2 linked regions of the Xenopus tropicalis genome follow. Each later gene encodes a partner of the first gene's protein in a complex. Links are inferred from orthologs where the notes say so. Each region holds a gene or a part of one and is shown in the gene's direction. Other genes may lie near its edges. The genes, in order: por and hmox1.

The links.
Region 2: the proteins of por (region 1) and hmox1 are in contact, whole or in part, in a crystal structure (PDB 3WKT), measured with the Rattus norvegicus proteins. The link is inferred for Xenopus tropicalis from reciprocal best matches to the Homo sapiens genes POR and HMOX1. Residues at the interface, in NP_113764.1 of Rattus norvegicus: Thr88, Thr177, Asp208, Asp209, Arg313, Arg514, Lys515, Gln517, Arg519, Leu520, Phe522, Lys523, His626, Lys665, Met667, Thr668, Lys669, Gly670, Tyr672; in NP_036712.1 of Rattus norvegicus: Asp12, Ser14, Glu15, Gln38, Ala75, Pro76, Glu81, Lys149, Ile150, Lys153, Ser171, Asp173, Asn174, Thr176, Lys177, Phe178, Lys179, Gln180, Leu181, Arg183, Ala184, Arg185, Asn187, Thr188.

Annotation. Positions count from the first base shown.
Region 1 is NC_030678.2:93,774,817-93,781,414, reverse strand, and holds part of por (NADPH--cytochrome P450 reductase), read left to right. Parts: intron 1-891; coding exon 892-1,041; intron 1,042-1,337; coding exon 1,338-1,462; intron 1,463-2,136; coding exon 2,137-2,226; intron 2,227-3,668; coding exon 3,669-3,767; intron 3,768-4,179; coding exon 4,180-4,296; intron 4,297-5,767; coding exon 5,768-5,886; intron 5,887-6,281; coding exon 6,282-6,463; intron 6,464-6,598. UniProt on the Homo sapiens protein: This enzyme is required for electron transfer from NADP to cytochrome P450 in microsomes. It can also provide electron transfer to heme oxygenase and cytochrome B5.
Region 2 is NC_030680.2:115,577,157-115,584,428, forward strand, and holds the start of hmox1 (heme oxygenase 1), read left to right. Parts: upstream 1-3,311; 5' UTR 3,312-3,401; coding exon 3,402-3,433; intron 3,434-5,771; coding exon 5,772-5,892; intron 5,893-6,545; coding exon 6,546-7,037; intron 7,038-7,272.

The DNA of each region.
Region 1 (6,598 bases):
GTGTTCTAATTTTTAATGACCTTAATTTGCCTTTGTACATGCAAATCTGTTACACTTATGTCTCGGTAGTCTGATCTTGTTTGTTGTCTCTTGCTGCATCTTTAACCAATTAGTACATTCCTCATAATCCAAAGCATCAGAGCTATGTATGTTCAAGGCTGATTGAAAACAGCCCTTACAGACAGTCATTAGGCTTTCGTATTCTCTGCTGTGAGAAAGAAACGCTCAGATGCAAAGTTAATGAGTGGAGCTGCATTCCCAAGATTCATTCATAGCAACCGCTTATACTAGTGAAAAGCCAGACGAGTTGGTGACAAATTGATTTGCAATACTAACTGGGAAGGCTGTATCCTATCAAAGCTTTTTAAGGATTGTATTGTTCTTGGCTAAAGGAACTAAATCCTGGGGGAAAAATGTAAGCCTTGCTTTGTAATTTTATCAAAGGTCTTGCATAGATATCTTTTGTATACATTGCTGAAATGAATGTGTTGTATACCTTTTATTGTTATTGACAGCAGGTCTTATTTAGCATTTACCCCATACCTCTTGCCGTTTATATAGTGTAGAGATCAGCCTTCTGAGTAGTGACTGTTGATATCCTTTTGGAGAAGATTTTTATCCAGAGTTGAATAATACAGTACTGGTGGATTTGTAAGGTGGAGTCCTAACTTGCTCTTTGAACTTCTAATATATCTTACTACAAAAGCCAGTACCTTGCTAGCTTATTTATAGTTCATTATTTATGGATGCCCAGCCACACTGACTATATCTGTGTCATCCACTATTTAAACATACTGGAGAATTGAAGGCATTCAGACTCTAGAAGGCCAAGATGTGCACATGAGGCCTATATAAAAGATTAATCTATGCTCACTTTTTTCTCCCCTGCAGACAGATCTCAGTCGTCTCACAGAAATTGAGAACGCTCTTGCTGTTTTCTGCATGGCCACTTATGGTGAAGGTGATCCTACAGATAATGCTCAGGATTTCTATGACTGGCTTCAGGAAACAGACATTGACCTTGCAGGACTTAAGTATGCAGTGAGTAATGTTAGCACTCTCAGGCAAGCACAATTTAAAATGTTCATAGTAAAATAGCATTTATCAGTCTCTCTAAATGCATTTGTTCATTATCTGTTGGATAAGGAATACATGTATTAATTGTTGATAAAAGGTGTTAGTTCATTAGTAGTGATTTTAGTTCTGCTATTTTAGTTCAGTGCAAGGTATATGTTGAAAGCCTGCATTAGGTTCTGGTATTTCTTTAATCTGTTATGGATACACATAATTATAGATTGGTGCTAAACTTTGGGTTTTTTTTCTTTAATGTTTTGTAGGTTTTTGGCCTTGGCAACAAGACATATGAGCACTTTAATGCCATGGGAAAATATGTTGACAAAAGACTTGAAGAATTAGGAGCTGAGCGCATTTTTGAGCTTGGAATGGGAGACGATGATGGCAAGTAAGTAGAAAAAAAAAAGAGGCATGAAACATTTCTACCTTTCTCAAAACATCTCTTGATTGGTAAATGCCTAGAGCACATTGACTGAGGTTTGTTGGTACAGTGTCAACCATTATGCACCACCAAGGCTTAAGCTAGAAAGCCTTCTGTGATTTAGTAATAGTAGGGTCAAGAATCAAACTGATTACTGTACTATAACTGCTGTACTTCTGTATGTGCACACCACTGTGCGTGAAATATGCCAACCCTTTTCACTTAAACAGATGCTTTTAGTTAGTGCCTTTCCACATCAATGGTACTGCAATGCACTGTTCAAGTGACTTCTACAGTAGAGTGAAATACTTTTGTGGGCATTTTTTCAACTTACATTATAGTAGCTGGTTTTGCAAACCTGTTAATTTACCAAGAAGAGATGGATCTTGATAGGGCCTGCATTAGTCTGTTCCTTACTCAGGAGGCTTCTCCTATCAAAATCCTCCTTGTTTAGGGTACTTTCTGTCTTTTTGCAATGATGTTACTGTGCTGGGCTCAACGGAAAGCACAGTGCTTATGGAACCTCTGTAGTACTCATGAAATATCTAAATATTTCTGGATAGCTTTACTGTGAATATTCACTTAATTTTATACTTGCTTTCTAAAACAAACCATGATATATATTTCTAAATTTTACTCAGCCTGGAAGAAGACTTTATCACATGGAGGGAGCAGTTCTGGCCTGCAGTTTGTGAACACTTTGGAGTTGAGGCAACTGGAGAAGATTCCAGGTATGCAACTGTCTGTACCAGCCCTGAAAAAATTCAGAAATATGCTGTGCATCTTTGTTATTGCTTATTTATCCATCTATGGCTCTAGTAATTGTAACTGGAATTAGAAAGTGTATATCATAAGCTGGGCTGTGGAGTCGGTAGATACATTCTCCGACTCCTCAGTTTCTGATACTTCCGACTCCTCTGTTTTTAATATGCTAATGTATTTTATACATCCAGGAAGGGGCACTTAAAACACAACTGAACTGATAATAAACTGATAGACAATTTTATCTATACTCCTAATGATTTCCCTAGAATCCCATAGTCATGTTTAAAGGAACAGTAACACCAAAAAATGAAAGTGTATAAAAATAATTAATATATTATATACTATTGCTCTGCACTGGTAAAAGTTGTGTGATTTCTTCATAAACACTACTGCAGTTTATATAAATACCCTGCTGTGTAGCCATGGGGGCAGCCATTTAAATTGAAAAAAGGAGAAAAGGCACAGGTTACATAAGAAGATACCAGATAAACTGTGTAGAATACAATGGGAATCTGCTACTTATCTGTTATCAGTGCAGGGCAACAGTACATTATATTTTAATTTATTTTAAAACATTATTTTTTAGTGTTACTGTTCCTTTAAGCTAACCTTACAGCTGTATTACAGCAGTTTTTCAAATGTTTTAAAACTTCAGTCTTAAACTATTGACTATCCATCCATTCCCTTCACGTATACAAGTATTTCTAGTCCTGCAATTTTTTTTTTACTTAATTAGTTATCAGTGAGAGTTAGGCTAGGTTCCCAGTGGGCATTGTGCTCCCTGTAACAGAGGAACACGACGCAGTGGAGCTGCCGCACCTTAACTGTGTGTTACGTCCCATTTAGTGAAGCATATAGTCAATGAAAAGCTTCATGGTCACTCAACGTGTTCGTTTATGCACTGTGTGCATTGGGCTTTATTCTTATAGCAGAGAAGTAATTAATTATGACTGTTTGTGAATTGGGACATTTAAACTTGCTTTATTTTTTTTTATTTTTTTTATTCCCATTTAAATTTAGTCGGAGTCGGTTCATTTTTTTCCGACTCCAGGTACCCAAAATTGACTCCAACTCCTCGACTCCGACTCCACAGCCCTGATCATAAGCATATGTTATTTTTTTATATTGTTGTTTTTTATGTAACCTAATTCAAATACAGTAGTAAAAATGTATGGGCTAGGTTGTTAGTGATGAGCAGATCTGTTCTGTTTTGCTTTGCTAAAAAAACATGGCAAGGAAGTTGTCTCTAGATTTCTTTCTATGAAACCGGTAGGTGACTAGTAAAATTAAGGGTTTAGAACAGTCTGGTTCATTAGTAGTCAGATTTAAATTATCCTAAATGCCACCCACTTGCTTAGTTTCATTTATAAATTAAACCATCAAACTCTAATATTTGTTTGACCTTTAGCATTCGTCAATATGAACTTGTGGTGCACACAGATGAGAATATGAACAAGGTGTACACAGGAGAGATGGGTCGACTAAAGAGCTATGAAACTCAAAAACCGTAAGTAGTCCAGGCCTGGATGAGTTCTTGAACAATCAGAATATCTAAGGCTATTGTGATACTAATATCTACAGTTAGTATTAGTGGTTGTATATATAGTTTATGTATGTGGGTGTATAGATTGGTGGGTGTGGGTTGTGTGTGCTGGGTTTACTTGGATGGGTTGAACTTGATGGACTCTGGTCTTTTTTCAGCCCTATGTAACTATGTAAGATACTGTACAACCCCTGCTGCTTTTGATGACAAATTTTGATGACAAAAAAGTGCATTTTGAACACTCTGACCGCTAGGGTCTGGTTCAAAACTCACATTTTAATGTGTGCCTTCATAAAATTCTTTAAGATGGAATCTGTGCAGTGGCAGTAAAGGCATTCAGCGGTTTAACTTACATTTTTTTTTATCCTTGTTGCAGACCTTTTGATGCTAAAAATCCTTTTCTGGCTAATGCAACAGTTAACCGCAAACTTAATGAGGGTGGAGACCGACATTTCATGCATTTGGAACTAGATATCACTGGCTCAAAGATAAGGTAATGTGGGACTATTGTGGGTCTATAGTGATTTTTCTGTATGCCTAGGCATTTTTATCTGTACCAACAATCCTCATGAGCGTATACCATAATTCATTGAGGTTCAATGACATTTACATTGCATTTTTGCTCTGAAAATGTCTTGTTTGCCATAAATTGAAGAACTACCAGTCTTTACTTTTGCAGTTTATGGTAGCTTTTATTTAAGTGGAATGAAACCTAAAACTTCCCATACACTTCTTTATAAAGGGAAGCAATTTCATGTTAATTCTCAGTCTTTGCCTTCTCTGAAACTTCTTCTTCTCAGTAGCAGATCATTTACCACTTATGTTTTAAATTTAAAATGTACTACCTTGTATTTCAATAGAACTTTGTCAAGTGAACATGTTTTTACAAGATGTATTCTGTTCCTGTTTTGTTCTCTCTGTACCTTAGTACATTGAACTGTAAATTGTTGTACAACTTCTATACATATAATGTGGAAATGTGTACTTAATAATGACAGGGTTTAGCCAGGAAACTGATATTTCACATATGTGAGGGATATGTTAGGGACACGTTTACAAAATACAGGTAGAGGGCCACATTTAAAGTGATACCGACACTTAAAATTAAAGTATTTTTTAAATATACCTTAACATTGTTGTTTGCGGGAGCTTTATAATTTTGCCAAACATGTACTTCCTGGTGCTTTTACATTACCTAACAGATTCTCCCCCCCCCCCCCCAAGTTTGTCTGAGGGGGCCGCCATATTTGTGCAGCAGTAGTCAGTAGCTATAACTGACAGGTTGAGTAAGGACAGTCGAGTTTAGGAACTACAAGTAACAATTATTTACAAAAGCAGCCCTATCAGTGAAAATCGATCATCATGTTCTGTAGGTAACTTTTGTGTACATTAATTATTTCAAGTGTTTTTTAGTGCCAGTACCACTTTAATGCTGGCCACCAGCACAGAGCAGGAATGCAGTTGTTAAGCCAAACATGCACATGAAATATATTTATTAGAGGGCCAGGAAGCATGTTGGGTGGTTGGATCTCCCTAAAAAGGTTTGAGAATCACTAAGCTTGGATGTGTTCTTGATAATTACCTTGCAAATGGTCAACAGTTTGGGCTCTGTTATGCATTTTTTGAAGCACACAGTGGCTTAGGATTCCCTGAATATTGTAAATATGTAGCTTTCTCTATCAGGGAGCACTTTGTCCAGTTCACCAGGAACGTGTGTTCTGCATGACTAAGCAGAAACCAGCTAATAAAGACTTTGGCTCTTGATGCTTATATCGGCAAATAGTGATGAAATGAACGTAGCCGGTCTGTACAAGCAGAAAGTGCACTTGCTCATCTGAAAACCCCCAAGCTTTTAAAGTGATACACATTCTCATAAAAACCATAAACAGGTCACTTTACAAATGTGACAACTAATTGTGTCTCTTGGAAATAATTTCCCCCAATTTGTACTTGCTAAACCTTAGATATGAGTCGGGAGATCATGTGGCTGTGTACCCAGCAAATGATGCTGCGCTCGTAAACAAGTTGGGAGAGATCCTGGGAGCAGACCTTGAAACTGTGATTTCTCTGAACAACCTGGATGGTGAGTTCTACCAACTGCTTGTGGTTTGTCTCACCCAGTCTGACACATTTAACACTACATTAGAAGCCAGTTCACAAAATGATATTGTAGTAAAAATATACATTATTCTTGAAGTCATAGTACCATGAAGGTGCTGCAACATTTTGATTGCTCCCAAATCCAGGAAATTTTTCTACCATCTACATTGCTCCCAAATTTTGCAGGCATTTTGTCTGCATCGCTGCTCTGCTTTCAAATTATTGTGCAGCAAAAAAAATTTGCATTGGTCTTGGTTTTAATCAAATGTGAGGGGAGTCGCACTGTTTTAGGACTTAAGCAAAGTTTGTGTGTTATGTGTAGAACTTTTTTTTTAAGTTTATTTAAAACCTTTCCATGCCCTTATTTGCTTTTTGCAGAGGAGTCTAACAAAAAGCACCCTTTCCCCTGTCCTACCACATATCGTACTGCCCTCACTTACTACTTGGACATTACCAATCCACCCCGGACCAATGTGCTTTATGAACTAGCACAGTATGCCACTGACTCCAAGGAGCAAGAAAACCTGCGCAAGATGGCCTCCTCAGCACAAGATGGAAAGGTGAGCAATATGCCTTGTTGAAAAGACTTGGGTAATCCTATATGGCAAAAAACAAACTGTAAATTATTGCTCACAACAACACCAAAAATAATAAAATAACTAAATAAGTATAAAAAAAACCAAACAAACCTTAAA
Region 2 (7,272 bases), on another chromosome or scaffold:
GCTCAATATTCTGTCGAATCGTGTGAAAGCATCTCTCAATAGGTCTGCATAGGCCTTCACTATGAGCCAATCATTGGGCTAGGGGCAAAACAATTGGATGAGTCTGATGTGGCCAAAATCAGGAAAATATCCTCTCGTTTGACAACGAAGGGTTTTTCACAGTGAGGGCAGTGAGGTTGGGGAATGCCCTTCCTAGTGAAGGAAAGGTAAAAACTAAGTAATCTTTATCAGAAAGGTCTATGTAAATACAGCCATAAGCACTTACAGTAATGCTGCACTGAGTCCTCTATCAAAAGAAACACAGGATTTCTTGTCCCTTTTTTTAGTAAACATGATGTTCCAGTGTCTGACTTCCTACCTCAGAAACATTCTTAATTCCCATGGCCAGAGTCTGCACAGCTCTCTCCTCTCTCCTGCTCCCCCTCCCACTAGAGTGCTTAGAACTCCCTCCCCCCTCCCTGTGAATGTGTGATCTCAGCTATAACGGCTAGACTGCAGAAAGGAAGCTACTTAAAATGGCAGCTGTTATCTTAAGCAAGCTTAAAGCTTCTAAAGCTGTTTACTCAGGTATGGTATCAGTTTCTGTAGAATAAATATTTTGTTCTAGTTGGCACTAATTTGGCAAATCTATTGGCAGTAAAATGCCAAAATGAATTTCCTTCTTCTTTAAGGGGTGATATGCTAACTGTATAATTATATAACAGGATCATATAAAAATATCTCTAATGCTTTATTTACCAGTCCTTACAACTGACATGAGGGCACCCATTTTGATTAGAAGAAAGGAGGTTCTGTCTAAATATCCCGAAAGGGTTTTTAATGTGAGATACGTGAAGTTGTGGAATTCTCTCCAGTTGTACTGGCAGATACATTATATAGCTTCAAGAAGGAGTTGGATGGCTTTTTAGAAAGTGAGGAAATACAGGCTTATGGAAGATAGCTCATAGTACAAGTTTACCCAGGGACTGGTCTGATTTTGCCTCGCCCTGGATCAACTAGCAGTTAGGCAGGTTATGTATAGGCATTATGGTTGAACGTAATTGACGTGTGTCTTTTTTCTACATTACTATGTTATATACGAGTGTATAGATAGGTCTGTATAAGTATATATATTAGGGATGCCCCAAACCCAGTTTTTTGGGTTCGGCTGAATGCCCCAATCCCTGTTAAGGGATTTGGCTGAATACTGAACCAGATCCGAATCCTAATTAGAGTGGATTGGATTCAGTTCGGCCAGGACTGTAGGCCGAATACCGAACCAAATGCTGGATTCGGTGCATCCTTAATATATATGCACTGGGGTTCACTTAGAGGGGTTGAATTTGTAATTTTTTCAACCCATCTTAACTATGTAACTATGGTACATGTGCTGTTTGCCTAAGGCAACAATTAGCATGTAGCATTTATAGGTCATATAGGTTATAAGAGAAAACACACAATACTGAAGAGAGAAAAATGGGGTTGGGGAAATAACCATTCATATCTTTTAAATCATTCTCAGTTTTTTAATAGGCAGGGATTTCAACCAGTACTTTCTGTCTCTTAGATTTATAAATAATTTTTGGCATAACTAAGGACATGGTTGGGGCATAATAGGGAAAAGGATTTGAGGCTGGTCATATAATTACCTGTTGAAAAAAAATCCCTGGGAAATGTACATCCCAGGAATGTAGCTCTAGCTACAGGCAAAAGAAAGCCAAATTCACTTCCCCAGGTAGGTACTCCTTTTTCTGTAAAAAAAAACACACCAGCTAAATGTTAGAAAATGCCACATCATGATTTCAGCTCCATTTTATTCACTGATCCCTATCAAATTGGCACCCCAGTGAATAATGCCTTCCTTGTTCTTTAAGACTATCTTTAAAATGCATAATGAACAACATTTTAAAAATATATATTTTGTAAATTTTCCTTTTCAAAGTTATTGCTCCATAAAGCCAGTCATGCATTATAACGTAAAACAAGGCAAACCCAAAAGAGTGCATCAGTTATTTAGCAGAAAGCCAGATTGCACTGCTGAGTCATGTTTACCCTCTCCAGCTCCATGTTGAGATTTTGCTGTGTCATGGTCATATGCTGTGTGTGTGTGGTTGGTGGGGGGGGGGGGCTGTGAGGGAGGGGGGTGAGGAAGTGAAAGCACAGCCAGCTGGAAGCTTCATGAAGCAGTGAGAAAGAACTGCATTGTGCAAAAGGCATCTATCTATTAGTCACCGACAACGCGCAGTTCTTGGTATAGATTACTTTTGTTTGTTCTCTTCTGTATCATGTCTGTGACAAGTATCGCATTTTTGTTCATGAATGTGATGTGACAAGTGTTTAGGCCTGCCAATATTGTAAGGTAATCAATTCTATTAGTCAGCACATAGTGAAATGGAACCAATAACAAACTGTTACCATTGTTACATTGTGCACACACTGGGTGGATTACTCCAGTGTGCAACGTCTGTGCACTGCTTGTCATGCCACTTGCTCATGTGCCCAGAGTGCAAACAGATGCCAGAATAACAGGCTAATTGCAAAATAATCCTACACTGGGGCTGTGGCTCTACAACACTATTCTGTGTTTTATTTCTGGTCCTGATCCAGACCCAGGGCAAATATATGAACAAGTATATGAACAGATGCTGCTTCTGACTAGTGGAGTAATGGGAAGAGGGGGCAGTGAGATTCAGGAAAGTACAAAAAATGGTCTTTTCTCCTTCAGGGGCCCAAGCGACAACAAGAAATTTACAAGTGGAAACATGGCTGGGGGGGGGGGGGGGGCAAGCTATGAACCTGCCTTTGACTGTCACATGTGCAACCTTTCAGGCATCCTGATGCTACAGTGGTTTTTCAAGATCTGCCAGATAGTTACATCTCTGCTTTACTTTTAGTCAAAACCTTTAAGGGCCCTTGTTAATCCTCACACCCAGAACTGTTGTCTCTGCAATTTATACACCCTTCTTGTCCTTGCATGTTGTAAATGAAAACTTAACAAATTATGGTAAAAATGATGTGGCTGCAGGAGGAAGCGCAACCAAAGTTTAAAGTGAAAGTTTAAATGTGAGCTGCTGCTGTACCCACCTTCACTGGTAAATATACTTTTTTCTGTGCTGATGTTTTGTTCTGCTGTTTTGTCTTTATCATTTTGAATCCAAAATCATGTGAATCTGAAAAATGAACACATCCTGTTATGTTCCCCTCACCCCTGCCCCCCTCTACTTTGCTCCTCTTCCCCCCACCCCCTCCCTCCTGGAGGAAACACTCACTCAGCTTCTTTTTTTTTTTTTTTTTTGTCCTACAGCCACGTGATCCTAGAAGGGAAACAAGAGGCATATAAAAAGGGAGCAGCTTTGACTCAGTAACTAAACAGCCAGCGGCTTGGAACATTAAGCTAGAAGTTGCACACAAAGGAAAAAGAGATGGATTCTTCTGCTAGCCAACAACTCAAAAGGTACCACCTTAATACTCATTACCTTGTCTAAATGCCTGAAATATATTATGTAGAATTAGATATCTGTGTTCTGTCCATTCACAGGCATTCGCACATATATTGTTTTACCACCAAATTCTGAGTTAAACATATATATGCTCCTATTAAGGCTTAAAAGTAATATGCATATGCTGGGAGGGTGGGAAAAATACTAAAACACATCACATATTTGCTCCATCTATTCAACATCTTATCTTAACAAGCCCAGAGCTTGTAAAGTAGTACGGAAAACAGCTACTAGGAAACTGTGATTAGGACTGCAGGTATAGTATAAGTAACAGCAATACTGTATATGGTTGCTTTATATAAATAACATGGCATCACAGAATGTGCCCCATGCCCTGTACATTACCGTATATTTGTGAGAGACAGGTCATTTTTCATACATGCAAGCTGACATCCACACACAAGTGATATTGACTTGTGATAAAAAATTTTTGGTAGTGTTTTAAGCAATGGACCGGTCTCATAATTTGCTTAATACCATGTGTTCTCTAGTTACAGCTTGTTAATATGAATACACGCAATATGATAAATATGTAGCAGATGGCAATGTAAAATCTCCTTTAAGCCCCGAGAGCTTGAGTCCCTCATCGAAACAGACAAGCACTAATGGCATTGGCCTAAATTGCTATTTTATCACTAGAAGGAGGACAGCCCAGCCCTTACCAACTGCTGTTATACTGTAATGATGATATGCTTTTACTTCAATTAAGATTAACTAACCTAAAAAACAGTTCTCTGAGCTCTGTATTTTAGGAAAAACAATGAAACCAAAGTATAATAACCAATCTAATGTAATTTTCAATCTGCTAACCGGTAAATTCTACATACTTATTGCTCAGTATGATTCACAAGACCAGTTGCAAACGTTACACCTTTTGATATATTACTCATGCCACATGTCTCAGGGGAGACTGTACTGTTTGTTTAGCTTACAGCAGTCATATTTGTTTGCTTATATGTAGCCTTGCAAGGCCATATTCAAACATTTTAACATGTTTTGCATAAGCTTTAAAGCTCTAGCAGGGGTGTCAAACTCAATCACATAAGGGGGCAGAAATCTAAAATACAGGCTAAGTCACAGGTCAAATTTTTTATTAAGATACTTGGTAGTAGAAGCATAGATCCATCTCAGTCACAGCGCAGTCAGGCGATTGGTGCTGCACAGTCAGGCACAGTTACTATGGGCCACATAAAACAGCCAGGCAGGCCGTATTTGGCCCACGGGCCTTGTGTTTGACACATGTGATCTAGAAGTTTTACTAGCAGCAATAAGTCAAACAATGTTTAACTTATACAACAGTTCTCAAATGATTGTTCACAATGTTTATGCTGCTTTCTTTCTTTTAAAATCAAGGAATCAAGGTGGTTTCAAAACACATCAGTTAATAGCACTTCTCCAGCAGAATCCTGCATTGAAATCAGTTTTTTAAAAATGGAAACATATTTTTTTTATATATAATTTTGAAATTTCACGTGGGGCTAGCCATATGCTTCATTTCCCACAGTGCTACAGCCATGTGACCTGTGCTCTGATAAACTTCAGTCACACTTTACTGCTGAGTGGAAAGTTGGAGTGATATCACCCACCTCCCAGCAGCCAATCAGTAGAACAATGGGAAGGGAGCAAGATAGCTGCTCCCAGAAGATATAGTAAGAAATCCAAATCAGGCACAGTGGACTAAGATGGCGCCTACACACCAATATTACAGCTAAAAAAATAAATTTGTGGTTCAAGAATAACATTTTAAATGGTAGAGTGAATTATTTGCTATGTAAACAGTGTAATTTAGAAATAACAAGTACACCATAAAAATCACAACAGTATCCCTTTAAACTGCAAAGCCAAATATGACCAAAGGTCACTGGCCTACAAGCTACTAAGGGAATAGCCCGCCTCATGCGTCCCTTCTGTCCATAGTCCAAACAGTTAGATGAGAGCAATCTGTCCACCCTCACACGTCTCAAATGCACAAAGCATTAGTTAATTCCTTTAGTGCCAATGGAAGTGCCATCCTAATGCTAATCAGATATGTTACTCTAACTAGGAGAGATACATTAAATGTGAAAATTAACCCATATTATTTAAAATATAAATATGTTGACTTTTCATATTATGGGCTTTATTAGGAAACAACGTATACTGTGATTTGTTATAGTTTTCTTAATACATCACATTCAAGACTTGCTTGCGCATTTTCTAACAGATGGCCTTACATTAAGTCAGGCATAACAAATTTTTTTTATATCTCTTTGGAAACAGTGGATTAATTTACCTCTTGTTCTTTTTTTTTAGTTCCCTTAAAGACTTGTCTGAGGCCTTAAAAGAGGCGACAAAGGAGGTCCATGTTCAGGCAGAAAACACAGAGTTCATGAGGAACTTCCAGAAAGGACAAGTTTCCCTAGAGGAGTTCAAGGTACTGTATAAAGCTGAATTTCTACATGGAGGGACACGTATACAACTTCAGATGTTCAAACATTAGTACTAGGTGATACTTTATTTGGATTAACAGTTTATTTTTCAAGTTTATGAGACTGACACTCTCTTTAAAGTAAAAGTGGTACTGAAGAATTAGTGATCAGTGCACCTTTGGCCTGAAACCCAGGGATATCCTCTTGTTAGTTCTGTAAAAAAAAATTATCACCAAATACTACAGTATATACCTAAATTAATATGGTTATGTTCTACCTATGGCTCTCCAGGATAAAATGTAACCATGTGTTTAGAACATCAACAATTGTGTACGTTTCACATGAATTTCAGCATACATTCAGAATATTGCTATGTAGTAGTATACTGGGGTCAAGTATGCGATTTCCCACAGTTTTGTGTGCTGTCATACAACTTTTACATCCACCGTTTTTACATTTTTCCCCATTTAACATTGTTTTTTGGGGGGTCTCGCCAATATATAATGCATTTCCCTGATTTTACATTGTCCCAGATTTTACACCACTTTTTCTAGTCCTCTGATAAAATGTAAACTGGTAGTTCTATTGTAATACTAATTTAAAGGCTGACAATTACAAAATACATAAATATTAATTGTGGCATTTTTTATGTTTCCAGCTGGTCATGTCCTCGTTGTACTTCATCTATGAAGCTCTGGAGGAAGAGATTAATAGAAATAAGGACAATCCAGTCTTTTCTCCTGTTTATTTCCCCATGGAACTCCATCGTAAAAATGCCCTAGAAGAAGACCTTGAGTATTTCTATGGTCCGCAATGGAGGAAGAAAATTATTTGTCCTCGTTCAACAAAAAATTATGTTGACAGACTTCACCAGGTTGGGCAAAATGAGCCAGAGCTGCTAGTGTCTCATGCCTATACCCGTTATTTAGGAGACCTCTCGGGCGGACAGGTTCTTAAAAAAATTGCCCAAAAGGCCCTGCAGCTTCCAGCCAGTGGTGAAGGTTTAGCATTTTTTACTTTTGACAATGTCACTAATGCAACTAAATTTAAACAGCTTTACCGTTCCCGTATGAACTCCATTGAAATGAATACACATAACATGAATAGGATATTAGAGGAAGCTAAGACAGCATTCCTGCTTAATATCAAGGTAAGAGGCTAAAATATTTAAATATTATTTAATTAAAATACAACAGTTGGAAGTAACTGCTATTCTGTGTAAAATCTACAGTGCTGATATGCAGGTTCTTCTGTGTCAGCTGTGTAGATTGTACATTCTATGGCACACAAATTGTTAAACATTAAAATGCTGCCATAGGATACAGCTTTCTTAGGGATCCTAGAGCCCTCACTGCAAGAGTCTACATTCTAAATGTTTTATGTAC